Linked DNA regions of Schizosaccharomyces pombe. The gene in region 3 interacts genetically with the main gene of each other region. Each region holds a gene or a part of one and is shown on either strand. Other genes may lie near its edges.

Region 1 (7,785 bases), 1.3 Mb from region 3:
ACAAGAAGCTTGAGGCCAGTCGTGATGAATTTTCAGAGAACGGTGTTCGAGACGTAGATTCTGTGTTGACGCCAAAGGAATTGGTAGAAATGTTTAAATTTTTACGAATTGATCCAATTGAGTTAACTAAAAACCCCATACCGTTTCAGCAGTCTACAGATGCAATCCCTTTTTGGTATCCTCGAATAACATATGAAGAACAGATAGGTTCTAGTTCAGGAGGTTACATGGGCTATGTTTTATCATACGCTGCTAAAATGCTTTTTGGTATTGACGATGTTGGACCTTATGTATCAATGAATAACAAAAATGGCGATTTGACTGAGTATACTTTACGACACCCCGAAACGAATGAACAGTTAATATCTATGGCAACGTGCTATGGATTCCGAAACATTCAAAATTTGGTACGCCGCGTACATGGAAATTCCTCGGTTCGAAAAGGCCGGGTTTTATTAAAAAAACGAGTAAGAAGCAATGCTCAAAATCCTACAGAAGAGCCTTCACGTTATGACTATGTAGAAGTCATGGCATGTCCAGGTGGTTGTATCAATGGAGGCGGTCAGCTTCCATTCCCCTCTGTCGAAAGAATTGTCTCAGCCAGAGATTGGATGCAACAAGTTGAGAAACTGTACTATGAACCCGGTACCAGGTCTGTAGATCAATCCGCAGTATCCTATATGTTAGAACAATGGGTCAAAGATCCTACGCTGACACCCAAGTTTCTTCACACATCCTATCGTGCAGTGCAAACAGATAATGATAATCCCTTATTGCTGGCCAATAAGTGGTAAAAATAATTAAAAGAAGGAAAATTTATGGGTTTTTTATAATTGTTTATTGGGAATTTAATAGGTTTTGGCTATTTTGGGGAAATAAAAATTTGAAATTAATTGATTAGTGAAGAAGTTATACGCGAATCTTTAGTTGGCTAATATGTGATTCTTCATACATGCTTGATAGGATCCTAGAAGTACTTTACTTCTGAATATTTCATGTGAATTCATTTCTCATTGTATTTTTTAGATTCGCAAGATTTCAATTCATTACCGATATCCGGTATATTATCAAATAATTTACATAACAATAATGATAACTCCATTATCATCCTACACATTTAAAGAATACACTGGTAAAAACAATCATTTCCTCTCAATAGTACTTTTGAATGTGTTTTAAAAATCTAAGTGTATCCATTTCGTAAATAGAGAGTTTCACTTTGAATATTATTTCTATTTTCTTTTAGGGATTTCTAGTTGAAAAAAAAAAGCGCTTCATATAATTTTAATCAATGAAGAAGATAAATTGTTTTAAATACGAAATCTCATACAACTTCATCCTTCAGTAAATTTTTTACCAAAGTTGCTCTTGGTCGCACATCTTTAAAGGTAGCCTCAGCTATAAGACCATAAACAAAAAATCTATAGAGGCATTGTAAAGAGATAAGCAACTTCGAAGTTTTATACACCAAACACAAGTAGTTATCAGAGTTTTCCATTTAGTTTAATTTAATTTGGCTAACTATATATTACACTTAGGGAGTATTCAGCTGTGCGACAAATTTCCACAATTACGCATATCTAGTTTATCACTCCTTAAGTTGGTATTTGTGATTTTGGACGAGTTGTTGCTTAACTTGTATTGCGAAACTTACTATAATACAGTATTCGTTGACCTTAATACCTCAACTGCCTTTGCTACGCTAAGGATTCATCACATACCGATGACACTTCAGTAGTTCTTTAAATTTATTTAAGACGTACAAGCCAGTGCATAATCTAGGTTTACAAAACTCTTTGTTATAGCTCCTTAGACACGGGAACTAAGCAAAGGAGGTATACAGTCTGGATACACGGGAACTCTTAAACAAAGTGTAAAATAATGTATCTCTTAATAACTCTGTCGAAATGGTTATATATCACATTGTGAGCTTGTTACAATACCTTATAGCTTTGCATTTAGTTCAGTGCAGTTTCTTATGTTTGTGTTTTGGGTTTGTAAAGTATGATAAAACGAGAGAGATATTTTGACAAACTGATGAAATTCAAGATCTACTGTATCAGCTTATAACTGGAATAGAAAGAAAGAATATAAAGGCTACAATGTAGCCATGTGCGGTCAACGTTTAGACTGCCGATCTTATGACCTAACTAAAGCGATCGCTATTCAGATCCATTTCTGCTTGTAGGGATGAGACTTTGTAGAATAGCAAATCTGTAAATTAACAAATCTTCAAATTTTGTTGCATCAAGCAATAACTTCTACTCTATCTGTTTCTATCAATGGTTTTTCATATCTCGAATTGAAATATTTCCAATGTGAATCAACTAAAAACATCGCACCCCATTACCTTATTGAATATTCGAATTTGGGGATTTCCTAGAAGAGTTGGACATTAAATGACGTTAATAGAAGTAAAAAAAAAATAGAAAGTCGTTTCATCATGGACTTGTCGATGATTTGCATTACCAGACAATTTTACATCCGTGAGTTCGCAGCAATCGGGTTGGTATCCGTTTATAAATTTAGCCGTTGATATTCATCCCGTCATTTAAAGCTGAGCCTAGGTTGATCTAAATATTCCATTATAGAATCGCTGAAATATTTATTGAATAGGGCATAAATGGTACCCATGAATGCTAATGATAACTAGGCAATCCAACTCCAACTGGCATCTAAAGACTTAGTAATATGACCACCATTTCATAATCTCACGGTGCTACATATAGAAAATCGTTAACATCATAGATGGCATCTTCGGAGTTCCTTCTAGTCCACGCCGAATTGCGGATCAAGGTAAGCAGATCATGAGAAACGTGGGTCATGCGAAAAGTGAGTCTACAAGTGAGTTCATCCTCAAAAGCCTATATATATTATATATATAGCACTTGGGAATAAATGAATAAAGGTTGCAACTTTAGTGATTGAATCGGTAAATCCCGTTAAAACAAACAATCAGTGATTCATCCTTCTTTAGTGTGATCTGTGTAGGTAAGCAAGCAATTTACAAATGCCTAGAAAGTTGGCAAGGCCGGTTTGTGTTTGGCAAGGAAATGAGCAAAAACGTCTGTCTATTCCTAAAACGGACGGTGGGTAAGCAAAATCCCAACTTGAAAATTTGAATTGGGATTTTTTTATTTCAATGGAAAAAGATAGGTTAAATCATAAAAAAGAACATGATATTATTTTCTTGGAAATATGTCGAAATCCTGTCTCATCCCAACCTTTTCGACAAAACTAGGTGTCCTGATGGAAATATAGTTTAAGCTCATCGCTTGCCGAACCGCTCCATCAAATGCTTAATTTGCTTTTATTGACATTGTAGCTCGACGGACTCTCTAGATATCTAAATATTTTTCGTTGAACTTACTAGATTGGGAATTGACAATTGAAAGCTCTTTAATTGATTACTTTCATTGTCTTGATTTTTTTCATTCTCAGAAAATTTCAAAAAATTCAGACTTTAGAAACTCGCTGTTTGTTAATCACTCTCTTGCTTTTTTTGGATTCAGAGAAAATTGAAAAATTCGAACTTTTTTTAAAAACGAATCATTGACCGTATTCTATCCTTTTATCCTTTATTAAACCAACCTTGCTTTTTTAATTTTTATTTTATTTTTTTTTAAACATGAAATTATCTTCCTTTGGATTATTTCTCGCTCTCCAGCTTTTGCCGGCCTTGGGCCTTCCTTCTCGTATCGATGAAGTAGACGTTTCAGACCCAGAACTAATCGGATTATTGAAACCCGATAACGTTGATAAGCCAGCAAACTCTATACCCCTTTCCAAGCGTAGCACAAGCCCATCGTATGCGCCTTATACTGTTGCTTGCCCTAGTGGCTCTCTGCTTCGACCTGCCTCCGATGGCCTTAGTACTGGTGAACAAGAATTTGTTGACAAACGTGTCTCAAAGGTTAACAGTGCATTGGAAAGCTTTATTTCAAAAACCGGCTTAAAAATCGATACAAAAAGTGTGCTGAATGACACAGATGGCCCTCGTTTGGGAATTGCAATCTCTGGCGGTGGATTTCCTGCCATGTTAACGGGAGCCGGCGCTATTAATGCATTTGATGCTAGAAATGGTAACACTACGTCTCTTGGTGGTATTCTTCAATCTTCCATGTACCTTACTGGTCTTTCTGGTGGCTCTTGGCTTGTGGGATCTGTTGCGGTTAACAACTTTGCCAATATTACTTTCTTGCACGACGACGTTTGGAACCTGGACCACAGTCTCTTCGCTCCCTATGACGACGCTTTTGAGAACTTTTATATTTACCAAGAGTGGTTTGAGCAAGTTCTGCAAAAGAAGAATGCTGGATTCAATGTCTCCATTACTGACCTTTGGGGCCGTGCTTTGGCTCTTAAGCTTGTCAATCCTTTGACTGGAGGTGCTAATACTACATTCTCTAGTGTAACAAATGAAACGTGGTTCCAGGATGGTGAATTTCCCTTTCCCATCATCATTGCTGATAATGTCATAGAGGGTGAAACCGTAATCCCTTTGAACGACACTGTCTTTGAATTTACACCCATCGAATTTGGTACTTGGGACACTGGGGTGGAATCATTTATACCCATGGAGTATACAGGTACACACCTTATTAATGGCATTCCTCTTAATGAATCCTGTGTGCGTAATTTCGACAACGCTGGTTTCCTCATGGGTACCTCTTCAAATGTTTTTAGCGGTATCCTTCCTGCGACAAATGCATCACTCACCGCTAGTAATAATACCTTTAACAATGCTGTCCTTAGTTTCCTCGAAATGCTTGCCGAAGATCAATTGGATGTAGGTCTTTATCCCAACCCTTACCAAGGTTATGGAAATGCTTCCAATACAACCACTACCAATCCCTTGGAGCCGTATCCCATTATTGAATTAATAGACGGTGGCTCAGATAGTGAAGGTATTCCCTTTTGGCCCTTGCTTCATCCACAAAGAGACGTAGATGTTATTTTTGCGATTGACGGGGGTTATCAAAGCGCAACGAGTGGATGGCCAGATGGATCGTCCCTAGTTTCTACATATGAAAGAGTTTTAGCCACTAACTCCTCTGGCGTTCGTGGTTTCCCATATATTCCTGATACCAACACATTTTTGGCTCTTGGTTTGAACACTCATCCAACTTTCTTCGGTTGCGACGGTAGAAACACCACAGCCGGAAACCATACCGTTAATGACGATACTCCTCCTCTTGTAGTTTACTTCCCCAACTATCCTTGGACTATGTATGCAAATGTCACTACCTACACTGTTCAACTGGAAGATACTTTGTCCAGTGGAATGATTGAAAATGCCGCTGTTGCTGCTACCCAAAATAACAGTGATTCATTTGCTGTCTGCGTTGCATGCGCTCTCGTTCAACGTTCCTTGGAACGCAAAAACATGTCGACTCCAAGTCAATGTGCTTCTTGCTTTAATCAATACTGTTGGAATGGAACAATTGCAAGCACGACCGTTACTACATATGCACCTACAGTTCTGTCAGCCAAGATTTAGTATGCAACGCTCACGACAATCCATTTTGTTCGATCTTTTCCATGGTAGCATAGAGCGTAAAGCATTGAAACACTAATGTTCATATATTCACTAATCTAAGAACCAGCAAAAGTCGGCTCTTTACTTATTGCTCATAAACAACGAGAAGGAAGATATAGTGAATAAATATAGGAATGAAAAAAGCTTCAAGAAGCCATTAACACCATCGAATTTGAATTCCTAAGCTCTAAATGACACTAATTTATGTAACCTTTGCAGAAATGTTTCAACTCAAATACTGTGTCAGCAGTAGTCCAGCACGCTACGATATACTACGTTGCGTAGCACTATATGTCATGCTAAAATATACATAACATTAGTTTATTGATGATTGTAGCTGTTTGTCCATCTATCTACACAAGTTACACATTGGTAGCAACTAGAGAAAAATATAAATAGAGCTACCACTGAACCTCATTCCTCAGTTCAGTTATTGGCTATATCGGTGACCGATACTACTAGACTTTTTATAACAATAAATATAATATTATTAGTTAACAAAGCGCATACCGCTATGTTGTAAATCCCTAGAAATCTCGCCGCAGTGCTATATATCGTTAAACCAGATACCAAACTGCGTAGCTGACATTATAATTATACTACAACGTTTGCTTCTCAAAAACGTTTTAAGGAAAGCTAAGTTAGGGTAAATAAAAAGGGCAGTGACAAAATAAATGTGTCAGAAGCAATTGCATTTTGAAAATGAGTTTTCGAATTTTAACTTTTACCTACTATTATTAAAGAGAGAAGTCTTCTTTGAAAGAAATTGCTCGTTTTTTATGTTGAACGGCTGAAATTGGGCTCCAGAGTGAAAATTCTTGATTTCGCTGTTTCGTTTGTCGCAATTATAGCAATTAATTCGCGCATGTATTTTATTAAATAAAGAATGATCTTGAAAAAATGAAGAATAATTACACTTCCTTGAAAAGTCCTATAGATGAAGGAGATGAATCGAAGACAGGACATGAAATCGATTTGGAAAAAGGGCTACTTCCAGAATATGATTCAGAGGAAGAGGGCGCACTGCCTCCATACTCGGGTAAGAATTGTAAATAATAAGAAAGGAATTACTCAATTGAAATTGAAGCTTGCCATCGTAGTCAAATTGCATGCTTTGGTCATTGTTTACAGTTGGCCATGCAATGCACACATTTTAATACATGTTCTTTCTTTACTAAAGTCTTTCAATCATATTAATTTAAACAGATCACGCACGTGTAAGCAATTCTCCTAACACACATAGAGAAAACAATCCTTCCAGGTCGACAGATAATTCTTCCCCTTTCTTGATAAAACTGCTAATATCATTCACACCAATCTATGTACTGAATGTACTCGCAATTTGTTATCTAAAGTATAAGGACGCTTTCTTTAAAAATTATGGTGCAGCGGAATGGACATTATTTGGATTTTGGTGTCTTGTTTGCACTTTGGCTTTAATATTCTTGACTTGTAAGTGAGACAATGGGGTTATTCTTACCTTCAGTCACTAACTCATTAGACTTCTATGAAACTTGGACCAAGGCAGTTAAAGTAACTGCGGTCGGCTTGTACAACTCAAGGAAAAAATGGGTAGTAATAATCTGGTTATTATGGGTAGTCATTTGTTTTGTACTCTTTGGTTGCATCAAATTCGGTAACCTGAACTTAGACAAGGCTCTCATCTGTTCTACATGCAGTATTTCAGCTGCTTTACTTTTATTTTTATTATATGGTATGTGAAGTTATGGAGTTACCAATGCTGACCGCTAACACGCAGTTCGTCTTCCATTCTGGACACTCAAGCATATGTTTTCTGGTTTGTTTCAAGTGCTGGGTGTACAAAGTTGTGTCGTTATTGTAACGAAAGGTTTGATGTATTTATTTGATAAACATATCGACGCGACAGGCTACGAAATTGAAGCCACTTCACTCTTTGTTATAGGCAATTTTTTTTTCTTTTACGAAATGGGTTTGTTTAATATTCCTGTAATTTATTCTAATCGTATCAGAATGTCCAGGTGCTCTCAAAAGGATGCCCAAATTTATCAGGAATGGTATAGCTTCTTTCCTAGGTATGTGTATTCAACCAACTGTATGAATGATTCTTTACTTACCCGATTAGAAGGTATAGGAAATGCAATTGGGCGGATAGGAAATGCGTTTAGAGGTGCCAACGATAATAATAATAACATTCCCTTGGAAGAAACGGAGGCCGAAAGCGAAGTCTAATTGCTTTATTATTGTAGTTGTCGCTCCAGTTGGAA
Region 2 (7,875 bases), on a different chromosome or scaffold from region 3:
AGAACGTTTTAGAAAGTAGCAAGTTGGAGTAATGTAACAAACTATAACAAAACAACTCTACAACACTTTTAAATTCGATATGTGTTTATAACATATTAAAACGCGAAAAATGGAAGTACATTAAATAGGACAGCGAGATTTTTATTTTTCTTTATTCATCGTTATATGTTTTCTTTTCACAACCAAGAACACACTTTACAGTTCTCATCTAGAAAATCATGTGTTGAGTAATCTATTAAAAATTTCACAACTCTTCGACACAAAATTTTTTTATACCTAAAAAATCAATGATAAATGACCGTAAAAGAATTACCTGCTTTTCCTTTTCTTTGAAACTAACTCTCGTTTCATATAGTCAATTTTGTTACCTCGTTACACTCACGTGCTATAGTGAGAAATATTTAAAGTAAGTAAATAAAACAGCTAGAGAAACATTAATGGAGTAGTAATTTTCGAAAAACGATATAGAAATTAGACCAAAGAATGAATTAGTAATCAATTTTAGTTCTAAAAAAAACCATATTAATTGTAATCAGTATTATCAAGAAATACTAACTGTGCTGTTGTTCTGTATAACGAAAAAATTTTGATGAATGATTTCTCTTGCAATATCGCATTCATTGCTTTTTTTCAAAATAAAGTAATTCGAGATACATCAACTATATCAAATCTTTCCTGAAATCAAGCCTTTTTTACTTAATTTATAAACATTACACTATGCGACACCATTTAAAAAATTTTTTTTGGTTGATTTCGAGGTATACAAACACAAAACTTAATACCGATGCAAAATTTTTATTTCAACAATATTTAGTAAGGGCAATGATTTTGATGATCTTCAAATTCAAGAACTAATCATCAAATAAGTAATAATGTATAGAGACACTGAAAATAAATTACCGATTTTGTGATCTGTAAACTACGATTGCTTGTATACATTCGGAAAGGAACCTTACAACATATTAAAATAATCAAACCAAGACATTCCTAAATCTTTTTAAATATTATTTTCTATTTATTAATCTGCTGACTCTTACTTTGCAAGTTATCTTGACATACTCTCACATACATTTTTCATTCTTTTTAATATATCGAATTGAAAGGTGGTGTTTAAAACAAAATAAGAGAACATTGATAAAGGGCATACGGAAAACTGGCGTTGATCTCATTAATATTGATACTCGAAATCAGTGTAAAAAATGGGAACAAGGTAAATTACGAAGGAATTTTTTATTCTATATTTTAATTTGTAAAATGTTAATTTATATCACAAATTCAGGCGTTTGAAAGATGCTATCTTCACCCAAATACAAGCCGTTTGTAATAACACAGCGCATCACATTTTCTAAATGTCTTTAACGTAGCGTGCCAATCTCTAATTCACTTAAAGGGTTAACCATGCATGGCGGGCTCCGGCCGTTAATGTTTCACAAGCGCTTTGCACTTTGAACAAATCCAATTCTGCAGCGCTGGTGGCTTTCTTGTAAATTTCGCAGCTATGGTTGCAAACTATGCGTCCATGATGTATCATAATGGCTCGAATATACTAGGATACGGTGTTTTGCGATTATTACAATATAATGAACAGTTAATGTCAGGATGGGAAAGTACCATGAAAGATGATATTGGGTATTGGAGACGATTTGTGCATGATTTTTATACTGAAAAGGGAACATTTCGCTATAACATCGACTACAAAGATTCGCCAAACCAGGAGCCGAAATTGTTTGAATTATCGTATGCAGCACTTCCGCGCTTCTTATATCTGAGTTATTGCGGCAAACTTAAAAAGATGTCGTTCCTTTTGGGAAATACAAAGGAATTTGCCATTCCAAACAATGGGTATTTTGTGGAATCGTCAAGGGCAAGCATTTTATATCAGTATCAAGGCGGTGTACAGGTAATTGTATCGGGGCACTTGCGGGCTCATTTCTTTCGTGCTCCTTTGTTAAAATTAGACTCTTTAGAGTTTTCAGCTGTCGGACATTCCGAGTATCTTTTGCGCGAGTTAATGACAAACGCTTCCCTAGCCCTTTCGCAGTCGCGGCCTCCTCAAAATCAAATACAACACGATGGGGTAAAAAGTGAGGATCCGTCATCCGAAAGTGTAAATATTAACTCATCTTCTTCTCTTTTGCCGGATTCACCCGTCAACGAATATGGATTGGAACCGCACATCATGCGGTTCATGGAAATTACTGAAACAATTTCGGGAATGCGCGATCTCATAGCCTTCACTCTTGCTCAGCGATCGGGTCCGACTAGCGCTTTACATAAATTTGCTACAGCTTTACAACAACAGCATCAAATGCAAAAGTCTACTTCCTCTAATATTCCATATGCAAATCCAGCCCCCTCGGGGTTTAATGGCTCGCCTAGGAATGGTGATGTTGCTAGTCTTGCCTCTAATTATCGTTATGCCAAGCAACCTCCCACTATGCCTGCTAATGCAATTAGTCAAGCTAATCGTCTTTTGGACCAAAATAATATCCCCAATATGGATCCATCAATTCTTCCTCAATCCATGCCGATTGCCTCTGTTCCGCCCTATAGTCTTCAGGGGATTAAACGCCAAGGTACCCATTCCCCAATGGTTGAAGGTGAAAATCCCAACAATAATCCTAACTTCTATTCTTCTGATATGCTGAACGCTCAAAAACGTACCAAGGTATAGCTGTTTTTTTGTATTTAATATTCGGTTCGCTCGCTACTTATACATATATCTGCACTCACTGTTATTTTTCGTTGTCTAAGTTTGAAATTCTTAAGAAAAATTTCTATTACTTTCTTTTTTTTGAGCGTATTACATTATTTATTCCTTTTTCTGAATACACTTTTGTGTATGTGTTCAACTTCAAATTCCTTACCGTTCTCATCATATGCAGAATTTGTCATCTCGTTCCCTATTCGACGCTTCTCTTTTATACTTTTAAAATAAAAAGGAATTTTTTTCATTATAAAGTAATTCTATGTATTTTTACATTGCTCCCTGTTTCAAGAACAAATCGTTTCCCCTGTCGTTGCTCTCGAGGGACGTAAAAGAAACTGCATTAGTATAGCGTTCTATATTCTAACATTCTATTTCTTGCACTATTTACATTATAGTTATTTGGCTGTTTTATATGTTTTATACAAAAATTTATAACTTATAATTACATGATGAGCTACTGTCGGTTAATTCATATTCAACTTTGAGTCGGTCAATGTATGAATCTCCTCAACTTCAGTTTAAATAGACGTGTATACTTGAAATTAATAGTTAAATTGTAAATTGAATATTTAGAAATTTGTATTTAATACCGTGGCAAAATCGTTTAGTGTACTATATGAAGCACTTTCCCCCAAGACTCCATCCTACTACCACCATTTGGTTTACGCACCTCACAATTTAGGATTTCACCATCATTATTTATTAAAACAATTATATATTATTTTTTTTATCATATTTTTTGACTTGTATCCCTCAATGTCAAATTTTGATGATCTACAGATTTTAGATCAGTTACAAACTTCTGCCAGGTTTCGTGGTGATACACGAATCCGAAGATTTAAGGGATCCAATAATTCTAAAAGCCCTTTTGGTTTAAACCCTAGTAGTCGAATTTCACAATGGCCCCGAATTACCTTTATACGTGCTAAGGACAATTACAACCCGGCGGAAGAATTGTGTCAATTAATCGATGAACAAAATGCCCACAATGAAGCTAAGCACCAAAGCAAAGAGATTATGCTTCCCAAGGAAACCAACGTTAAGTCCTGCGAAGATTTATCAAAAACCGGTGAAATAAAGGCGTTGGACATTGTGTTATTTAAAGCAATTACTTCGAAAGGTGATACATTGAAAGTAAAGAAAATTCCGGAATATGCGGAAGCGTTTGATACCACCAAGAATGTAGAAGTTTCAAGTTTTCCTGAGAAAAGCATGAACGAAAATGTTTTGATTCAGCATTCTTTAAATCTTGCACCAAGTGATAAGGAAATTTCATCTACAGAAGAAAGTGAGCAGTTGTGTTACAAAGAACAAGAATCTGAGAAGGAGTTATATTCTAAAGATAATGATGACTCTTTAGACATACTAAATGTTCCAAACTTGGTCAATGATGATATTGCTAACAATAACGCTGCACCTCCACCGCCTTTGGCTCAGGCACAGGAGCAGTTGAGTACCGAAAATGAAGACGAGTTTGATATTGATGACACCACCGATAAAATGACTACGTTTACTATGAACAAGTTTGCCGACCTCTCCGTTTTAGAAGAAGATGATGATGATGAGGACGAAGATGAAGAGCTAGAAGGAGAGAAAGAAGAGGAGGAAGAGGAGAAAGAAAAACCTGAAATATCAAATTACGATGAGACAGAGGGTAAAGTAAATTTTTCACTTGAAGATTCGGAATCTTTAGAATTTGATGAGGGATCAGATGACTATGATTATGCTAAGTTAACGACGGAACTTGTGGGAAATACAGATTCATTAGCCGAAGATGAAGATGATATTTTGGAAGAAGATGAAGATGAAGATGAAGAAGAGCTTTTGGCAATTTTTGATGCTAGTGATGATTCCGAGATTGAGGCATACCTTAGTATTGGAGATACTTTGCAAAATGATTTTACTATTTATGATTATGACAGTGAGGATGAAGAGTACAATAACCCCTCAACTCAAAAAACGGAAAAAGTTTCTCAAAGCAAAAAAGGGGCGAAGGTAAAAGAAGAAAAAGGTTTGAAAAAAGATCGCAAACTTCCTAAAAAAATGCGTAAAGCTCAAAAGAAATTAGAGAGAAAGGCAGGAAAGGCTGTGGCCGCTAGAATGGGAGATGCCTTTTCCAATTCTTTGGACGATGAGAGCATGAACTTGTACGCTGAATTGCAAGAACAATGGCTTAAAGATAAAAGCAAAAAGGCAAGAAGACGAGCGGAAAGGGAGAAACTCCGCTCTGAGGGGCTACTTGGAAAGAAAAGCAAAAAGAAACTTTTGCGCGAAAGCCAGAAGCCGTCTTCTTCCGATTCTGACAATGCTAGTCTTACACGAATTGATAAGATATTTATAAATGATGTTTATCAACGGATGCAACAGTTTAAGCACTCGGCCATTGAAGAAATTTCCCTTCCTCCATGCAGAAAATATGTTCGTCGATTGGTTCATGCGCTTGCCAACGATTTGAACTTGAAGTCGAGAAGTTATGGATCTGGAAACAAGCGGTATACTATGCTTTCCAAAACTCATAAATTTGATGCATCTAGTGTGGATTTGGTTTCACTTACCAGGATTATGGAGCGTTTACAGACCAGGGTTGAGTATCAGTCATTTTCCAAATCTGGTAGGAAATCTCGAATGACTGTTTCCTCTGTGAGGTCGAGTAAAGCCACACGTGTATATGATGGCCAAATTGTTGGAGAAGATGCCCCTGAAATTAGCAAAGAAAATCCAGGTCGTCGGTTGCTCGAAAAGTTAGGATGGTATGCAGGTAAAGGACTTGGTCATCCCGAAAATGAAGGTTCCAAAGATAGTTTACGTGCTATTGTTAAAGTTAGCAGAAGTGGTTTAGGTTAGAAAACCAGGGTGACTGGTCAAACCGAGAAACTAATCAGCTGTGTCTTATTTACTTGAGATAATACTCCAATTTATATATATATATATATAAATATATACTATTCTAGGTTAAGCATCATATTCAAATTAGCGATTTGTACATATTGATGTGAAGTAAAAAATTAACCGTGGGTACTTCGACATGGTGTCTTTCCATTCAAGAGATAAACCGGAAATCCAGAAAGATAACTATCTTTTATTTTAAGATATAAACTTCATTTAAATAGACAGAATAATTATTCTCACTACAGGAGCAATTGAATATGTAAGTTGCTGCTATGGGCATACTGCAGCTAAAGAAGTTCTACAAAACGGTGATATCGCAGTGTACAGAGTTATTATTGCTATTTAAAGAAGATAATCGTAAAATCAGTTAGCGTTTAATATATAACACGTGTAATACAGTATAAGGAGTTATGTAAAGTAACGTTTAGGTCATTTTAACAGGCAATATCGGTCAATAGTGATACCCAACATCGCACTATTCGCAGTTTCAACCAAGTATCAATCGGAGCCTTTTTCATTCGTTAAATAGTATAAGGCAAAAATACCGTTTCGGTAAGGGTCAATAGTGTTCGCCTAGGTTCGACTGACTTCAGCCTTTATGGGGCCCGTCGGAGCTAACTTTTCCACTTAACAACTAATCGAATTCTTAAGTGTTTTTTGACGACAATCTGTCAAACACTGTATCCTTATTAAGGAACTAGTGTATTGTTTAAAGTAAAGGAGTTTTCAAGCCTGGGAAGCTCGAAGAAACGATTCAAACGGAAGCTCTGTGGATAGCCAAGTTCGGTACGGGTTTGTACTTTCGTCCCCGAGTATTTTGTTGAACTTCAGGAATTCGCGTTCTTTTTTAATTCTGAATTAATCTTTACTCTTTACTTTTTATTCGTTCTTTTTTTAAATTCTGTTTTTAATTTCGGAACAAACGAAGTTGGATATTGAGTACTTTTCACCAACTGCTCGGTCTTAATAATTCTTGATTTTGCGTTGCTGAGCCTTTATCCTTTATTGTTTTCTTTTTCATGTTGATAAAGAAGTGATTTTGCAACAATTATTTTCTTCATTGGCATTTGAATTTTTACGCTCTTTATTTTATTTACCCAATCTTTCTTTTCTTTCATTCGGTTTGCGCCTTTTGATAATATTTCTCTTAACTGGTCCAATAATTTGTTTTCTCTTTAGTCTATAGACAAAACAACTTAATTTACTGAGGGCAAAATTTTTATTACCAAATTTAAGTTTTAATTTTCATTCCTATTATACTTACGCACGATTTAATTTCCATGGTCTTTTTAAATTCCTCTCCCTTTAAGGGGAGGTTACTATTTTTTGTTTACCTTTTGATAATTTCTACTCGGTTGGTGGCGGCTGACATGAACACTCAATATGGCTGTTATCTCGTGGATAGTAGCTTAACTGAACAAGGCACGTTTACCTATCTTGATCCAGCGTATTGCTATAACAACATTTGTGGTGGATCTGATAATATAGCATTTGTAGCTATCCGTAATAATCAATGTTATTGCGGTAGTACACTTACTGCTACAGAAGTTTCAAGTTCTCTTTGCACAACGCCTTGTCCAGGTTATGGTTCTCTTATGTGTGGTGGTGATCTGTACTGGTCGGTTTATCTGACTGGCAATGGGGTTTTGCAAACCACGGTTTCTAGCTCGTCAGTGTCGTCTACGACCTCTTCGTCTTCATCATCATCTCCAAGCTCATCTTCAACTACAACAACAACATCTCCTTCTTCTTCTTCTTCTTCTTCGTCTTCGTCGTCTTCCTCTTCTTCTTCGTCTTCTTCTTCTTCTTCTTCCTCATCTTCCTCTTCCTCTTCCTCTTCCTCTTCGTCTTCGTCTTCTTCGTCTTCTTCCAGCTCTTCGTCTTCTAGTTCTTCCTCTTCCGTACCAATAACGTCTTCCACCAGTTCTTCTCATTCTTCTTCATCTTCAAGCTCATCTTCCTCTTCATCTTCTAGTCGGCCATCTTCGTCTTCGTCGTTTATCACGACCATGTCCTCATCTACTTTTATTTCTACTGTCACAGTAACACCAAGCAGTTCCTCTTCTTCAACCAGTAGTGAAGTTCCAAGCAGTACGGCTGCCCTCGCTCTAAATGCAAGCAAGGCGTCAAACCATACGTCCTTGAATGCAGGTGCTATTGTGGGTATTGTTATCGGTTGTGTGGCATTCGCCGTGGTAATGGCATTGTGCATTTTCCTATACTTCTATTTCAGGAGATTCAAAATTAGAATGAGCGACTCGGCAAATGAAGGAAAA
Region 3 (8,819 bases):
AAGCAGGTACGAGAATTGGGCTTGAGAGAAAGAAAATATAAAATAAAAAAATTGAATATAGAAGAAAAAGGTATAATCAGAAATAAATTCAAAATTTTAAGCAAGAAATCGTAAAAAATGAAATTTTCAACTAGAAATGTTTTTCTTTTTCCGTTTTTTTTTAGTGTACAACTTGCTGTTTTTAGAGGAATATTCATTATTACTTACTATTTACTAGTATTTGCTTTCTTTACTAGTATTTAATTATTAAAAAATTGTGTTTTTATTTTTGTATCCCAACTAATTTATTTATTTATTCTTTCTTTCTTTTTTATTTACTATAACTTGTGTGTTTTCCCTACTTTAAAATTATTTGTTTCCTTTAGTAGTAGCTAGCTGGATTTTATTTCTTTGTACCTTTGATAGATCATTTGTAGAATCCATTTTATTAAAACTTACGAGGAAAAATAATAAATCAAACAAATCTGATATATCACATGAGCTTAGTTAAATTTGAATTGACTTTCAGTGTTTTGAGTCCACCAAATTGCTGCAACAATATTATACAACTAAACGCATTCCATCAAATTGGACGCTGTTTTATTTAGGACCTTTGCATTATATACTAAAAACATTCTTAAGTTGCAAATGAATATAAAGAATTTTCAATATAAAAATTGCCAAAAATTTTCGACACCAGCAGGATTTGAACCTGCGCGCGGAGACCGCAACAGATTTCTAGTCTGTCCCTTTAACCACTCAGGCATAGTGTCTAAGTCGAAAATTATAAAAGCTATAATATATTTAAGGCAAGTATTAAAATTAAAATATTAGATGTTGTAAGAGATATGTCAAATATGCTTTAAATTTAGACTAAGATAAATTGTAGTATGCAATCCTCCATCCCAATTGTAATCATCTCCATTATTTGATGATTCTAACTTTAAAAAACAAAACTGGTATCTGTTAAACGCTAGACGAACTTACTATAACAACCGAACACTCTTTTACAATGCGCTCCGCATTTTTTTAGTTTCCTTCTTACTCCAAGAATTGCAAGCTTCTTTATGTCTAAAAAAACGAAAAAAAAACAAATCGTATTTTTGATAAACTTTGACACTCATTTCTTTCGAAATAGCCTTTTATGTAAACACATCGGGTTTAGTTATACCTTCCCAACTTCTTGGGTAGAGTAGACTAACTAGGATGCAACCCATTCATACTATGAATTCTCAATTGCTTACTTCTAAGTCAAAACAAAGCATTATTTTCTAGAAAAGCTCGTAAAAAGGGTTCTCTTTTTTAAGCTTTACTAAAGGTCAATTTTTACAGTCAGTGTTTTCAACTTGGTCTAAACTAACAATAAAAAACTATCACTAGTTCTTTTCGCAAGCATTTGATTGAAAAAAAAGGCAAGAAAATATTAAAACGTCCAAGTTTGTCCGAGCGTTTTCATCATGATTGATCAAATATAAGCATTCCAAAATCTTTAAAGGCTTTCGTACTCAAACTAGAAACTCGGAAAATTCGCCAAGAACGATCACACCTCCCATTATGTAGACGATGTCGTTTAGGTCTTTTAAAGCCATTCATCTCAAAACCACCAATTCCAGTAAAAAATAAAACACGTCGACTGTAAGCATTTTTATTTGATAAACGAAAAAAACTCGATAAATTGGAAGATATTTAAAAACTTTATAAACTTGCAGAATCTCGTCCGCAAGCACTCACATGTGGTCCGAACCTATCCTGTACAACAAAAGGTTTACAAATGTTGCATGAAAACCTCAAGAATCATACTTTTCAAGTATCTTTCCTTTAGTCAAAACACAGAAAACCCATTGTTATTAACCCCATAATATATGCACATTATCGAAATTGTTTATTGCTGACGGCACTCAGCAGCGTTTTGCTGGCCATGAGCAGTGTGCTTGCTATCACTGTCCTCCTCATCGGAATCGGAAACTTCTTCGTTAGAAGAGGATTCAACATCATCTTCATCCTCTTCAACATCTAAGTCGCTGAATCCGTCATAGTTTTCAAGAGCTAAAGCCTCACCAGTAAACCACTCAACGGCACGAGGAATGAGTTTCTCTTTGAAGTCCTCACCGATTTGATAGTCAAGTTCCAACAATTCATCCAATTCAGGGCTCTCCGATTCTTCGTCTTCCTCAGATGGAGGAGTTGGGGGATTAAAAAAGTTGAAGAAACTGTCACGAGGAACGGAAACCTTTACGACACGAGTTTGTTTAGTGTTTTTATTGCGTTGCTTTTTAGTAACGGTACGAACAGTCAAATCGGCATTTTCTTTCCAATCAACCTTATCGCCCTCAGCATGATCATACAAGAAAACGTTGGACGGGCCAGATTCCTCCATGTAATAATAAGTTTTGGTGAGAATCTTGTTAGTAAAGAATGGGTTTTCAGCAAATTCAAATTCTAATTTGAAACCAGGCTTTTCCATATAGGAAATGCGAATATCCACAAGGTGACTTAAAGCTCCTTCATCTTCGGGAGTAATCATTTCAGACAAAGACAAAACATTCTTCATAGCGGTCAACCAGAACTCAGGAATACCCTTAGTATCATCACCACCTTCTTGTTTCTTAGACTCAGAAGAAGTAGGTTCTTTCTTTTCGTTCTCATCGGCAGCTTCACCCTTCTTAATTTCCTCCTCGGTAGGTTCGTCAGCGCCACGAACAACCTCAGATCTTCTCTTAAAAATAGGTGCGTACTTCTTTGCATAAGCTTTTTCCAACTCAAACAGCTCTTTTTGGAATTGAGACTCCAAGTCGCTGTATCGCTTTTGCAAACCACGAAGTCCAGAAATCCTTCTTTGCACGGCTTCAGGCAATTCTGAAACTCCTTCTGAAGTGAGATGTAATAAAGAACCCAATTTTCCGTCGATAGCCTCTAAATTCTCATCTCCTTCGTCAATAGTATTTACTTGAGGAGCCTTCGCACCAAAGTTGGGAGCGCTCGTCCCCGATGGGGTGTTATGGGGAGTTGGGGCGGCAGACATTTTTCCGGCCCTTTTGTTATTAATATTAACGTTCTCTACCATATTAATTCTACTTGTTCCAGCAATCAATTATGCTTCAGACGCTTTCCGTACGTCCTTTTAATAACACTGGGAAGGGTAGTGGTAGAAGCTAAGTGTAAGAATATTTGCTGCACCCTGGGAATCTACCTACCCGCGGAACTTCCGAGCTCATCCTCGGGGTTTCCGACCTTAGTGAACAGTGCATCGTTGTGTTACGGACACTTTCTTTATTCCCGAAGGGGGTTTTTAAAAATAAAATTCGATGAATTTAGGCTCATAGTTAATATTATTTATATTTTTAAGACTAGTAAAGATCAGGAAGAGCTGAATTAACTGTAGAAGAAAGCCCTTTATATTCTAACAACATTTTGAAGCTAGAATCTTTTTGTCTCATTGAAATTATTCTATCATTAAATTAAACATCAGTCGAATAAGTATCGAAAATTGAGGTAAAAACTTTGCTGAACCAAAGGTTACTTTTTAAATGTTACTGGGTTAAATTTCGTTTTTGCCCAAGGCTACATTACGACGATTAATAGCCATGAACAACTCTTCCAAATTTTGAGACAACGACTTCTCAAGTGTTAAACGAGTTTGGGATTCATTCAAACGCTCAGCATTTCTTTTTTGCAATATACACAAAAAATCTGCTAATAAGTTAAGATTCCAATGATCTGGAATTTGCTCGCACACGTAGGAAAGCGTATAAGAAAAGGGTCGACGATACAATAGTTCTTTAATAAAATCACTACATCCATCTCCTGTTGATATACATTTTTCGAGCAAATTGCACCAACACTGAGGATAAACATCATCAATTTGAAGACAGTATGCTTCACCGCCCTTATAGTCATGAATATTCGTAACCAAAACGGATAAAGCTTTTTCATAATTCTTCTTCCTTTTGTAAAACGAGTGTTCAAGTTGAGGAAATAGATATAAATTGTCAACATGAATGTCGAACAAAATATCTTTTATTTTATCTATAGATTCTTCTTCAACATTTTCCATCAGATTAATAGAACACAAATAGTAAAATGAAAGATGAGTACTGAAATCACTCATGTCCCCCCAAAGTTGTTCCAAGTATTGGGCATACGTAGGTTTCTCCATGCAAGGAAGCTCCCTAAATGTTTCAATGGCAGTCTCAAGGCGATTTTTAAAATCGTTATGATCCAATAAACTGCCAAGCAACTTATTAACGCACAACTTTAAAAGTAGCGCTCGATGAGTGACGGAATTCGACTTTACAAGGTAATCAATCAAAACATCATCTTGAGAAGAATCCAAATGCTCTAACACGTCCTCTGCAGAAATGGATCCACTAACTGTTTTGTCAAGCAAAACGCGCGTACCCTCCGTTGCATCGTGTTTACAAAGCCATGTAGTAAATTCCCAGAATGTCGAAGGCTCAATATCATTAACCAAATATTCTCGTATTTTAATTAACCCATCGTTGAATCTCCGATCTTCATAATCCCCTGTTATTAATTTCTTCCAAGTTTGAAGAACACCATCGTGATCCCTTACAGTAGCCAATAACACGGAGAGTAAATAATACTCTTTCTTCTGTATCAACACATCTTTTATATCTTCAACACCAGTTAGACCAGACTCTAACAACTCCTTAGCATTTTTGGTACCGGCGGCTAAATCATCCATATTTAAATAAAGGAGTAATAACGAATGCTCTACAGCAAGCATCACGTCTCTTTGCGAAGATAAAAGATACTCAGATATGCTCGTGTTCTTTTTGTAATTTTTCAGATAACGCATCAACATGATGTATGCGTTTTCCTTAGTAATTTCAATCATTTGTCTCTGAGTGTATTGATCAGTATCACGAAACAATTCATTAGATTTTAAAACATTAGCAACAGTATCATCGACGGACAATATGCTTTTGCGAAAACTAATGACACCTTGAAAAGCAATATAGGAAAGCTCCGAATGATAGAGATCTGGATAGAGGGAGATAACTACGCGAGGATCAATTTTGGAAGTTTCAAGCAAAGAGAGAGAATTTTCATACTGTCCTTGCTTCCAATACTGTAATGCCGAGATTTGCTCCAAATAAGCAGATTGAAGATAAGCGACATCATTGGTTATTCCATACTTCTTCGGATTCCGCAATCGCTTACTCACTCGACGCAGAGGGGCTTCAATATCGCCTATGGTAATACTGAATTCTAGTTTGTTCATAAAATGAGCTTCAGCGCCAAACCCCCAAGATTTATTCGTAAGAAAAATAAATGAAGGCTTGCTAAAAGAAGCCCTTTCTATCGTATCAGAAGTTTTTGAGGTAGACGCAGTATTCACAGCAGAGAATTTACTAAATATTTGGCGATCACAAAAATGAACGCTTGTCAATCGAGAAATAAAAGAGAAACTTTCATCATCCTTCAGATTAATACTTTTAACAAGACTGAGAGTATTTATGTCGATGATCTGTAACGAACTAGAAGAAATGGCGAACACATAATGAGATGTAGAAAAAACATGTTTTGGATAAAATGAAAAAGTTAGAGTGCTTCTTGTGACATTCCCTTGGGAATCTACAAAAAGCCCTATGGCATCTTTGGGACTACCGGTAATCAAGAGAAATTCATTAGAATGCAAAACAATCATGGGTTTGTACATTAGCCCATTATTTTCCGAATCGTATTTGATAATGGGAAAGAGGGGAGTAGTATCAAAGGTGAGAATATCCAATAATTCAAAGGAATTTTCGGTAACTAGACAAACGATATGACCATTCACACGAGCAGTTTGAATATTGGGGTATTTAAGTTCCTTGTTTATTGTTAATTAGCGCTTTTATGAAGTAAACAATTTAGCATCTAACATACATTTTTGACTAGTATGATTCCATCTTTTTGAAATGAGATGAGCTTTAAATGAGTATTGGTCACAATTAAATATGTGCTTTTCTCGTCAATACGTTGGCCTGGATGACAGAATTCCACCAAGCCTTTAAAGGAGATGGAAGGGTAAAGCTGAGTCAAATCATCTTCCTTGTATACTTCTGCGAAACTACCTACCACCGTTAATTGGTATTCCAAAGTTATCGTAAACCACACATAGCTTACCATGATGAATAAAAACTGCGCCAAGAAAAGGCATTGCAAGAATTCGGTTTACACGAGATTTCGACACCAACGAAATCTTCTTTACAAGCTCTGGTGATTCATTTAACTAATACGCGTGTTAATGCAAACAACCCTGTGCAACACACGAATAAACACAAACCTGGAAATTTGAAAAATTATAGAGGAATACATCACCACCTTCCGTTCCAAAGTATAGATGGTTATCTAAAAAAATCAAATAGTTAGCAATATAGCCCCGGATGCTTGCCTTACTATAGAGCGCAATGGTAGTTACAGGGGAATCCAATTCTTTAGGAATTGCTGACTCATGCAGCTCAATATCAGACATTTGTAAATTTTGAATTAATGAAAAGATTCATTAAACAATTATATTCATGAAAAAGCCCTTTGTAAGTGTATCTGTTGCGTTAATATGGTTACTTTCAATATGAGTAGATCTGGGTAGCGTGTAACCCATAGTAAACGAAATGTTATGATATAGAAAGAAAGTAAATTTAGAATTTCTGCTAATTTAAATAAAAATTAGATTCTATTACAAAACTAACTATTCAAATACGTGGAATCCTTATAGGAGATTCTCTTCCAATCTTAATCCATAGTAATTCTAAGTTAACTTGCAAGCATCCTGGGAGTTATAGCAATTTGAGATAGCCTCACAGAGTGAAATAGCAGGAACTATAATAATTGCACACAGAAGTGATTGTATGTTTGTTGACTGACTTAATTTCAAGTCTCTTCGAAAATTAATTGACTGAATAATTTGATAGCTGATCTAAAAAGATTGGCCTTTTGTCAATAGGCTTTGCATTATTCCCAAAATACAAGGCTACAAAAGCAAAATCAATACAATATACAATCACTTTTCCAATCGAATTAAGCGCCTAATACATATTACTCATTTCCATAAAAACAAATTCTTATAGCGAAGTGTTTAATGGAACGTTGTGTAACTCCCAATTCACTATTTCAGCACGCTGACATCGCGCTATTTCATTGAAATGCTAAGCACAAAACAAATACTAAACATTAGTCATTTTAGTGTTTCGTTTTAATAACTTGCAACATAATGGCAGTTGCTTCAGAAGCTTTACTCCAAAAGCTAACGGAGTCATGGAAAAGTTCGTGGTGTTTTGAATTTTTAAGCAAATAGCAAAGTTACTAACGTGAGATAATAGATTCGCGGTTTGAGGAATTACAACGGGAAGCAGATGAAGCTGCAGCAGAAATTGAGAAGATGCAAAAGACATCTTTGGATGAAAGGAAAGAGCTTTCGTCAAAAACGAAGGGTATGGTGTCTATTATTGCAGCATACCTAGTATACATTAACCCTTGCTAATATTGTTAATATACAGAATTTCGCAAGCAGCCTGATGAAGTCAAGCTAGGCGAAATGAAGGGCCTTTTAAAGCTTTATCAGTCTGGAATCGATTCTTTGACCAAACGAGCAAAGTCCGCTGAAGCAACATTCTTTCGAGTGTATGAAACACTAGGCGAGGTTCCTGATCCCTACCCTTTGCTGATTGAGGCTGCGAACAACCTTAAAACTCAAAAACAGATTGAAGATTTAAAAAAGGAAAAGGAAGAAATGGAAGGCTCGCTACAGGGTAAGGAAAAGCTGGAACGTGAAGTGGAAAATTTACGAAAAGAGCTTGACAAATACAAGGACCTTGTAGAGACTGAAGCGGAAAAGCGTGCCGCAATCACAAAAGAAGAATGCGAAAAGTCTTGGCTTGAGCAACAAAAGCTATATAAAGACATGGAACAGGAAAATGCTAGTACGATTCAAAAATTAACTTCAAAAATTCGGGAATTACAAGCATCACAACTAGATCATGATTTACAGGCCAGTCAGAATGAATCAGCAGGGTTGGACGTTAATGCCAAATCTGCCGAAGTGAATGCTATTCTTTCTGAATTGGATGATGCTAACAAAATCATTGTCGAATTGCAAGCAGAAATTGCTGTGCTCAAGCAAAACACCAAAGAGCAAAAGAGCGGGTCGTCACAGGATGACCTGAGTAACCAGCAGAAACAACAATTGGATTTTATGGATTCTCTTAATAAAAAATTGTCTACTGAATTGGAATCAATAAAGGAAGCATCAAGAAAAGAAATGGAAACACATTGTGCCACCATTCAAACGCTGGAAAATGAAGTTAAAGAGGCCCGCAAAGTTAAAGAAGAAAGCTTAACATTGGCCAATAAATTTTCGGATTACGACGAGATTAAACGAGAACTATCTGTTTTAAAACAAATTGAATTTAGTGGAGAACATGCGACTCATGAAAACACTTCTCTAGAGTCTCAATTACTCAAGCGCGAAAAGCAACTATCTGAGGAGTTGGCCAAGCTACGCTCCACAAATGCCCAGTTAACTGATAGAATTACTCAAGAGTCGAAGAAGGCTTCATTTTTGGAACAAAAAGCTTCTGAACAAGAGGAGGTAATTCGAAAACTAGAGAAAGACCTTGCCGATGTTGATGTTGAGGGAAGTGTTTACTTGTCCAACACCACCTATCGCCGTGAAGGAACTAGCGGTCAACTTTCTCCAACATCGTCAATCATGGGTGGCAATCCTAGTTTATTTAACGGAAGCGTGTTGTCAAGGAATTCAGTTAACGAAACTGGTTCTGCCATTGTTGACGTTATCAAACAGCAAAGAGATCGGTTCAGACGTGCGAATGTAA
Region 4 (8,403 bases), on a different chromosome or scaffold from region 3:
GAATCCCATCCCTTGCTTCATTCGTTTTTCTCTTCTGCCAACAAATTCTTCTAGAGATTGCATCTTTTATCGTCGTTAAGGAGATTGGTTAAGTAGTTTCCCTCTCATTTTTTCAATCTCTCCTTTCTAGCTTATTTTGGGTTTTTACACAGTTCAAGTTTTCCTTTTATCTGCCTGGTCCCCAAAATCTCGGTTTTGCTTTATTTTCTTTCTTCAAATTCGACTTTGTGCGCTTGAAGATTCGATTTCAAGCAATCATTATTATTTCTTACACTCTTTCTTTGGATGACTATTTTCGCCAACACATCTATCTCTTCATTTTTGCAACTTTTTAGGCTTACTAAGCTTCTTTTTCTTGTATAATAATATTAACTGATTTTGGGTACGTGTCTTCAACATGGCATACCTTTAGAGATTTCTGTTTTTTTCCAGTTAGGAGCACTGTTTAGTCAATCTACTCGTTCTCCTCATTGTGTTCGTCTTCCAATTTTTGTCATCCATTTTTACTTTTCTACTAAATTTTCGTCGAAAGCTTTCATTGTTAGCTTTTTTCCCTTTCATAAACTCGTATTTTCTTCTCTTTGAGAAAAAGCTTGCTAAAAGTTTTCATTTTTCTCCAACAGCTGCTTAAAATTTCATCTTAGATATTTCTCTACACGATGTCGAAAGTTAACATGCGAGCTTTGCTCGAGTCCTTTAGTACCGTGATTCTTTCTATCTACCCCTTGGCTAAAAGTACAAATCAACAATCACATTCGCACTCCCTTTCACTTACTCAGTTTTTGTATGAAACGATTCGCAGAAGTCGTGTCGATTACACTACGTTGCTTCTTGCTTTATATTACTTCATCCGTTTTCGTGATGCTGCTTCTTCTAAGCCTACTAACTACATTCCTCTGTTATGTGGGCGTCGTCTTTTCTTAGTCTGCTTGATGGCCGCTACAAAATTTTTACAGGATCGTAGTTTTAGCAATCGTGCTTGGTCTCGCCTATCAGGACTTCCAGTTGACAAATTACTTGTTTTGGAATATATGTTTTACCAATGCATCGATTATCGTCTTGTCGTTCCTAAACATATTTTTGCTAGATGGTCTCTTTTAGTTGGTGAATGTTGTGCTCACGCGACTGCACGTTATGATTCCACCGATCCTAATGTTGCCTCATTTGGCAGCGTCGCACAATATTGGGTCTCTTTGTTTTCTAATGTTCAATCTTCTCTAGATGATCTTTTTTCCATTGCCTGTTTAACGAAGATAGCACATCGCAGAATGAATGCTAATGCTGCTTTGAAGAATCAGGCTACGAGGAAGCCCTCCTCTTCTCCTCAAACAACTCAAGACTCATCACCTATTCTTACGATGGCACCTTCTACTCCAGTATCTGTTGGCAGTACCCCTCCATCCACTCCATCTGTTTTACCCATTGCCAAACAACTGGCTCCTATGAATGTCTGTAAAGCACATATTCAGGCTTCAAATCAGTCCCGCACTTTGACTACTGCTTCGCCACCCGAACAAATACCGCTTATGGAACCGCAAGTTTATGTAAATCCTCAAGTATTACCGGGTCGGTTGTCAAGCCTTTCTAAGCCAGTTAGTCTACCACCAACTCCTTCTTCACCAAAGGTTGGAGTATATCGGCCAATGACTTCTAAGTCCAATGGAGGTGTTGCTTACTGCTATAATGCTCAAAAATTGAACAATGCTACTGGTCCAGTTACATTTAATATGCCTTTTGCAAGCGTCTTACCACTTGCCGTATCTGTGAGTTGTGATCTGGGTACAGCGTCTGCATATGTCGCGTCCCTCCCTCAACCTTGTTCTCAAAAAAGGCATTTAGAAGAAGACTACTCATGTTTAACGGAACACAGTGCTAAGCGTCGCAGTTACTTTTAATTATCAAGCCCAATCTGCGCTGTCTTCGCCGCTTCTTTCAAAAACTATAATATTTAATGAATAATTTCATAATACTGATGCCATTTTAACAGCGGATGTCAATAAATACCGATAATGTTTTCTTTCTATTGATTTATCTATTCAAATTGTGTGGAAGATAATCATGATATGGGAAACTTGATTAGGTTTATATTACTACCTTCTTTTCATATCTAGACTTGTCAATGTTTTGATTAAAAATCAAATATTGTTGTCGTTTCTATGAATCTTTTTTTAACATTCTAATAGCAAAACGATGTATATATGGTATGAATGAATTAACGATTGGCAACTATATTTACTTATGCATCTTGTAAATTGATATCAGTAGAGCAAGGTATTCAAAAAAGATAATTTTGTTGATTTCTTATGGCCATAAACTTGTCAAATAGTCAAACTATTTAGAGATTATGTATGTGCTCATTAAGATAGTTATATATTTTAGGCAGGTGAATGTAGCCATTTGAAATCTACTACTGAGCTCCAATCCTATTTGAAGGCTCTAAGAGTCCTTTCAATCATTTTTTAACAGAGTTGTCTAAGTAATATTTTTTCAACGATTAAACTGTGAAACATTGAACTAAAATATCTTGATCATTTACAAAAGCAGTAATTGCTACACCGTACTACTAGTAGAGCCAATTTTGATTACGGTCTTTAAAACAATGTTGAATACACTAATTGTAAGCGATTTTTGTAAAAACTAATAATTATACGTATCTTCTTGAACATCACGAAAATTAACTGATATTTCCCTAAAGTACAGTTGCAAGTAGGAAGGATTAAGACAAAACAACAAATTATATACTAAAAATTTTACAAATGTTAAAATCAATTTCACATATATATTTTGTTGTAATTAAATGCACTCAAATACTATAGCTTACAAGTTTAGGGAGCATTACGGAGAACATCCCACATATGCTGTTCTATGAATGGGGTTTGGATTTGGCCATCACCACTTCACCGATTTACTGGTTCTTTTGAATAGTTGAAGTGTATGAGTACAATTTCAGAAGTTGGACCTTGGGAGCTTGGTCTTTCCTTAGGATCAGGAGGACCAAATTCATCACGTTTAGCCAAACATCGTGAAACTGGGCAATTAGCCGTAGTAAAACCGATTGTAGGATGGTCCGAGCTTACTTCGAGCCAACAGGCTAGGATAGAGGGTGAATTAGTTTTGCTTCGATTGATCGAGCATCCTAATGTTTTGCAGCTCATAGATGTGATTTCAGCCCAGGAGCAACTCTTTGTCGTAGTCGAATATATGCCAGGTGGTGAGCTTTTTGACTGCATGCTTCGTAAAGGAAGTTTTACTGAGCAAGATACGGCAAAGTTTCTATGGCAGATTTTGTGTGGATTGGAGTATTGTCATAAACTTCATATCTGCCACCGGGATTTAAAGCCAGAGAACTTATACTTGGATGCCCATGGTTCTATCAAAATCGGTGAATTCGGTATGGCGTCTATTCAACAGCCAGGAAAGCTTTTGCAGACTTCCTGCGGGTCTCCCCATTACGCATCCCCAGAAATTATTATGGGGCGTTCATATGATGGTTGTGCTAGCGATATTTGGTCATGTGGAATTATATTTTTTGCTTTGTTAACAGGGAAATTACCGTTTGATGATGACAACATTCGTTCTTTGTTGCTAAAAGTCTGTCAGGGTCAATTTGAAATGCCATCAAATATCTCTCCTCAAGCCCAACATCTGTTGTACCGCATGCTTGATGTTGATTCATCTACTCGAATTACCATGGAACAAATTCGTGAACACCCGTTTCTTAGTTGCTTTGTTCATCCCAATATTTCTATTCCAATCATATCAGCCCCTATACAACCCATTGATCCATTAATAGTGCAGCATCTCTCTTTAGTTTTCAGATGTTCCGATGATCCTATGCCCTTGTATGAAAAATTGGCATCTCAATCACCCTTGGTTGAAAAAACTCTATATACTCTACTGAGCAGACACTTGCATCCGCCTTCCAGCGCTGCAGTTGATCGCAACCGCGCTGTGGTCGATGATCTCCTTGGTACAGCAGCATCCAACGGGCAGCAAATGGACGAGGAAGAAATTGAACAAGCTATCAATATTCCTACTTTAGCGCCTTATCCAATTTCTTATGCTGCAGAGTCTGTTCCTCGACCTGCTACTTCTGCATCGCCATTTCTTACACCTGTTACCACTTCTGGCACTTTTAATTACTCTTTTAATGCTACCAACCCCCAATCCATACTTCAACGACCAGCCACTACATCTTCTGCTGTTCCTCAACTCCCAAAATCAGTTACCCCAGGACTTGCATATCCCCACGATAGTTCAATGCTGTCATCAAATTACCGACCTCCTTCTGCATTATCTCCTCGCAACTTTAACGTTTCTATAAACGATCCGGAAGTTCAACTAAGTCGTCGCGCTACTTCACTGGATATGTCAAATGATTTTCGTATGAATGAGAATGACCCTAGTATTGTTGGTAATTTAGCAGCTTCCAATTTCCCGACAGGTATGGGACCTCCAAGAAAGCGTGTCACTTCTAGAATGTCCGAACACACTGGTAATCGAGTCGTAAGCTTCCCGCGCGGCAGTGCTTTTAATCCAAGAGTTACTCGCTTCAACGTAGGAAATGAACAATTCTCTAATAATATTGATAATAATAACTATAATCAACCATACGCAAATGCAACCATGAACAACTCTCGTCGTCTTCGTACCCCTAGTGGGGAGAGATCAATGCGTGCTGATCTCTCTCAATCACCAGCCTCTTATGATTCGTTGAATGTTCCCAAACATAGAAGAAGACAATCGTTATTCTCTCCTTCTTCTACAAAGAAAAAGCTTTCCGGCTCACCTTTTCAACCAAAACGATCATTTTTAAGGAGATTATTTAGTAGTGAGCCTTCTTGTAAATGCGTCTATGCCAGCTTGGTTGCTTCAGAATTGGAACATGAAATTTTAGAAGTTCTTAGAAGATGGCAGCTTCTTGGTATCGGCATTGCTGATATTATATATGATTCTGTGAGTGCTTCGATATCTGCTCGTATTAAACGACAAAATTCACTTAATCTTAAACCGGTTCGGTTTAGAATATCGGTACTGGCTGAGTTTTTTGGTTCACAAGCTGTCTTTGTGTTGGAAAGCGGTTCTTCTACAACTTTTGACCATTTGGCTACAGAATTCCAGCTGATTTTTGAAGATAAGGGGTTTTTGGATAATTTGGAACTCTCTTATTTTCAAGCTTCGGCATCCAGACCTGTTTCTCGAATGAGTGTAAGTAGTAGTCCTTTTGCTGTATTTCGTCAACGACAATCCGTCCAAAGTTAAATTCTTTTATTATTATTATTATCATTTTTTTTTGATTCTCCAAAACCTTTGCAAACTTCATTTTTCTCGTGATGCTTTGGAAAAAAAAGGATTATCAAAAAAGCTAATCGTTTGATAATTGAACATAATGTATACTCGTGGAAGTATTGGAACTTTTTGAATTAAGCTTTCATTTTGTCCCATATTGGAACTCTTTTTATACACCAACAATATCTTTATAGACCTCCATTCTTTTTCTGATGTTTTTCTTTTACTTGTTCAACTTGCTATATGGAACCACGGTTATCCGGGAAGCAATAAATGCATTTAATGATTAAATTATATTTTGCTGCTCTGCTACAATGTTTCTCTTGGAACCTGTTGAGTTTTGTACATGTGATGTTGTACTTGGAACTTACTCCAATGATAATAACTTGCATGTCTGAAGCAAGGTAATTTTTGTATTTAGTATGACCGGCTATTGCTGGCATCTTTTTTGAAATACATTTTTCTTATTTAATTTAGGTATAAAATTTTTTATCTTAATCAATCTTTTCTTTTGGCTTTCTAACTCTTCGTTCTAAATCACAATCTTTTTAGTCTCGTTTATTTCAATCGATTTGACTTTTTCTTCATCTTATTTATCACAATCAACTAGCACTAGCGGATACAATTTCAATGAACTGCAGCATAGGTCGTATTATGTTTAGAAATTTATGACCCTTCTGCTTGTTCTGTATAAATTAAATTTATTCCAATTAAGTATTTGGTCGCTCAATGCTAATTAGTATGATATTAAATTTGAGTGGAATTCAATATGTAACCTGCTTACTTCGATAGTTGAAGAAATACATTTGAAGTTGTAGGATATCTAGGTTATCTGCATTGTACAAAGAGTCTGTTTTTTTGGAATGAAGTACGTGACATATTATTAAGCACTTTTAAAATTGTCTGTGCAATTGCCTTTTCAGTATTTTTAGCGAGGTTGCAACTTCAACTTATTACTTGAACAAGCAGCGAAAAACTGCAAGAAAATCGTGTAAAAACTAGTAAATACCATGGCTAATGTAGAGTTACAAACAAGTTTGGTAAGATCTTTTCCAAGCTCAAGCATTTAACATTTTTTAGGGAAAAATTCTTATTGAATTGTATACAGAACATGCTCCTAAAGTACGCATCAAGAATAAAGGACGAACAGTGTTGTTTGCTTTGAAAGTAGAATCGCTAACTTATAGACATGTCAAAATTTCTATACTTTAGCAAAAGAAGGATACTATGATGGTGTTATTGTAAGTTTTTTTCGCACTGTTTGCATCGTGCAAATAAGCATGTTGAAATATGAGTCTACAATTTAATATTTCAAGTGTGTTATTTTATTGATTTAACTGTTCACATTTACATGATGGACTCAGTCAGTCATATAAATATGTGTCCTATAATTCATTCAATATCGTATTTGATTTAATTCGTGAAATTGGTACTAATTAAATTAGTTTCACAGAGTTATTCCAGACTTTGTAATTCAAGGAGGGGATCCCACAGGTACAGGTCGAGGTGGAACTTCTATATATGGGTAGGCAAAGCTTTATAAATCGGCATTCACCGATTGTTTGCATCTTTATTACGAAGTTTTCACATTCTTATTAATTGATTAGGGATAAATTTGACGATGAGATTCATTCCGATTTACATCACACTGGAGCTGGCATTTTATCAATGGCCAATGCTGGACCTAACACAAATTCATCACAGGTATGATGACTTTGTTTACACTAACTTTAACCATCTTCAGTTTTTTATCACTCTAGCACCTACTCCTTGGTTAGACGGAAAACATACAATTTTTGGTCGTGTTGTTAGCGGGCTTTCTGTGTGCAAGCGTATGGGTCTTATCCGAACGGATTCATCTGACCGCCCAATTGAACCTTTAAAAATCATTAAAGCTGTTGCACTTTAAATTATTCTTTAAAGGATATTCAAAGGTTTTAATCTATAAGTCTTTTTTCGATTTTTCAACACATCCTGAAGATATTGACTAAAGTTATTTGTCACGGATATTAAAAGCTAAATTAATAGTTGATAAAGAGAAGCATTTCCTTACAAAAGGTGGACTTTTTAATTGAAGTCAAATTTTACAAGTCAAGTGGAATAACATAAGCTTCTAAGAAGGAATTAACTAGTTTTCTAGCTTAAGAAATTGGAGATGGATTTTGTTACGCATATCAACCTAGTTGTTTGACCATAAACGATTGAACAAAAACCTTTTACAACGTTAGCATTGCTTCCGGTACTTTTCTCCTTATCAAAAATTTTACAATTGTATTTTTTTCTTAATTAGAAGATTAAAGCTCGGGCCAAATATACAACTACAAGAGTTTATTGGACTAGATTACTCAAATACTATTGCTTCAGTTTTTTTGTTACAACGTGGGATGTTATTTTAAAAAAAATTCAGAATCAAAATAAAGTCCAATGCATAAAAACGGCATGAATCCTTCTCTTTTTTATTTAATTCTTCTTTTAATTGTTTACGCCAATTTGTGTGATCCATAATTAGCAAATTATTTTACGTGTTTTAACGTATTACGTTATAATTGTAATTAAGCAAATAAATGATATTTGTCAATTGAAGGTTCGAATGTAGTGGTCACGGAATACTCACAAGCATGATAATAATGTTTTTTAAGGTCCTAATATATCTAATTGACCTTTCACAGCTAGACATATCAACATATGACCAAAACTTAGCTTCATTCCTCAAGCGGGAAACATTCATTAACTGAAATTGTCCATGAGAAAGACTTTTTCTATTGAAAGATAAGTTTGAAAAGGCTACAAACTTTAAATACTTTTAATAAAGTAATTTTATTAACTAACTATTCCTTTGCTTACTTATAGATTTAAGATACTAAGCCACAGTTACGCAAAATTGGATAATGAACTTTAGTGACATAGGTTTTACACTGAGTAGTTGACTTTGGAGCGTGTTATTTACATGCAATTTCCTAACACGTTTCGCCTGGAGCATGGCACTTTTAAAAACGATGCCAATCATAAGGTCTCTAACGCGTGGAAAATCGATTAGATTACTTCAAAAACAATCAACGAAAAGAACTAATCCGTGCGTCTATTTAGAAGCAAAAGCTGTTGAACAAACACCGG

What was found.
Region 1: mutations in vps3 (region 3) and plb5 together harm fitness more than expected from each alone (negative genetic interaction), as found in Schizosaccharomyces pombe (one large-scale study listed by BioGRID).
Region 2: mutations in vps3 (region 3) and sqs1 together harm fitness more than expected from each alone (negative genetic interaction), as found in Schizosaccharomyces pombe (one large-scale study listed by BioGRID).
Region 4: mutations in vps3 (region 3) and cdr2 together harm fitness more than expected from each alone (negative genetic interaction), as found in Schizosaccharomyces pombe (one large-scale study listed by BioGRID).

The regions. Positions count from the first base shown.
Region 1 is NC_003421.2:1,739,303-1,747,087, reverse strand, and holds plb5 (phospholipase Plb5), read left to right. Parts: upstream 1-3,628; coding exon 3,629-5,500; 3' UTR 5,501-5,886; downstream 5,887-7,785. Other genes in the region: nar1 (iron hydrogenase), read left to right, coding at 1-794; wtf antidote-like meiotic drive suppressor Wtf16, read left to right, coding at 6,440-6,578, 6,746-6,991, 7,041-7,253, 7,299-7,490, 7,531-7,593, 7,644-7,750.
Region 2 is NC_003423.3:1,299,620-1,307,494, reverse strand, and holds sqs1 (G-patch and R3H domain-containing protein), read left to right. Parts: upstream 1-3,359; 5' UTR 3,360-3,466; coding exon 3,467-5,554; 3' UTR 5,555-5,898; downstream 5,899-7,875. Other genes in the region: ldb1 (LIM domain binding protein), read left to right, coding at 1,499-2,674; transmembrane receptor Wsc1, read left to right, coding at 6,880-7,875.
Region 3 is NC_003421.2:472,529-481,347, forward strand, and holds vps3 (GTPase regulator Vps3), read right to left. Parts: upstream 6,534-8,819; 5' UTR 6,461-6,533; coding exon 6,385-6,460; exon of another isoform or gene 6,337-6,384; coding exon 6,272-6,336; exon of another isoform or gene 6,218-6,271; coding exon 6,112-6,217; exon of another isoform or gene 6,060-6,111; coding exon 5,872-6,059; intron 5,816-5,871; coding exon 3,518-5,815; 3' UTR 3,255-3,517; downstream 1-3,254. Other genes in the region: histone H2A-H2B chaperone Nap1, read right to left, coding at 1,862-3,043; coy1 (CASP domain-containing family protein), read left to right, coding at 7,199-7,250, 7,308-7,418, 7,485-8,819. UniProt on the Schizosaccharomyces pombe protein: Required for sorting and processing of soluble vacuolar proteins.
Region 4 is NC_003424.3:1,361,912-1,370,314, forward strand, and holds cdr2 (serine/threonine protein kinase Cdr2), read left to right. Parts: upstream 1-2,884; 5' UTR 2,885-2,934; coding exon 2,935-5,262; 3' UTR 5,263-6,057; downstream 6,058-8,403. Other genes in the region: cyclin Pas1, read left to right, coding at 660-1,895; cyclophilin family peptidyl-prolyl cis-trans isomerase Cyp1, read left to right, coding at 6,300-6,329, 6,370-6,411, 6,477-6,530, 6,735-6,814, 6,897-6,993, 7,034-7,198; mug10 (Rho guanine nucleotide exchange factor), read left to right, coding at 8,268-8,403. UniProt on the Schizosaccharomyces pombe protein: Acts as a mitotic inducer. In G2 it negatively regulates wee1, a mitotic inhibitor. Also has a role in cytokinesis where it required for proper septum formation.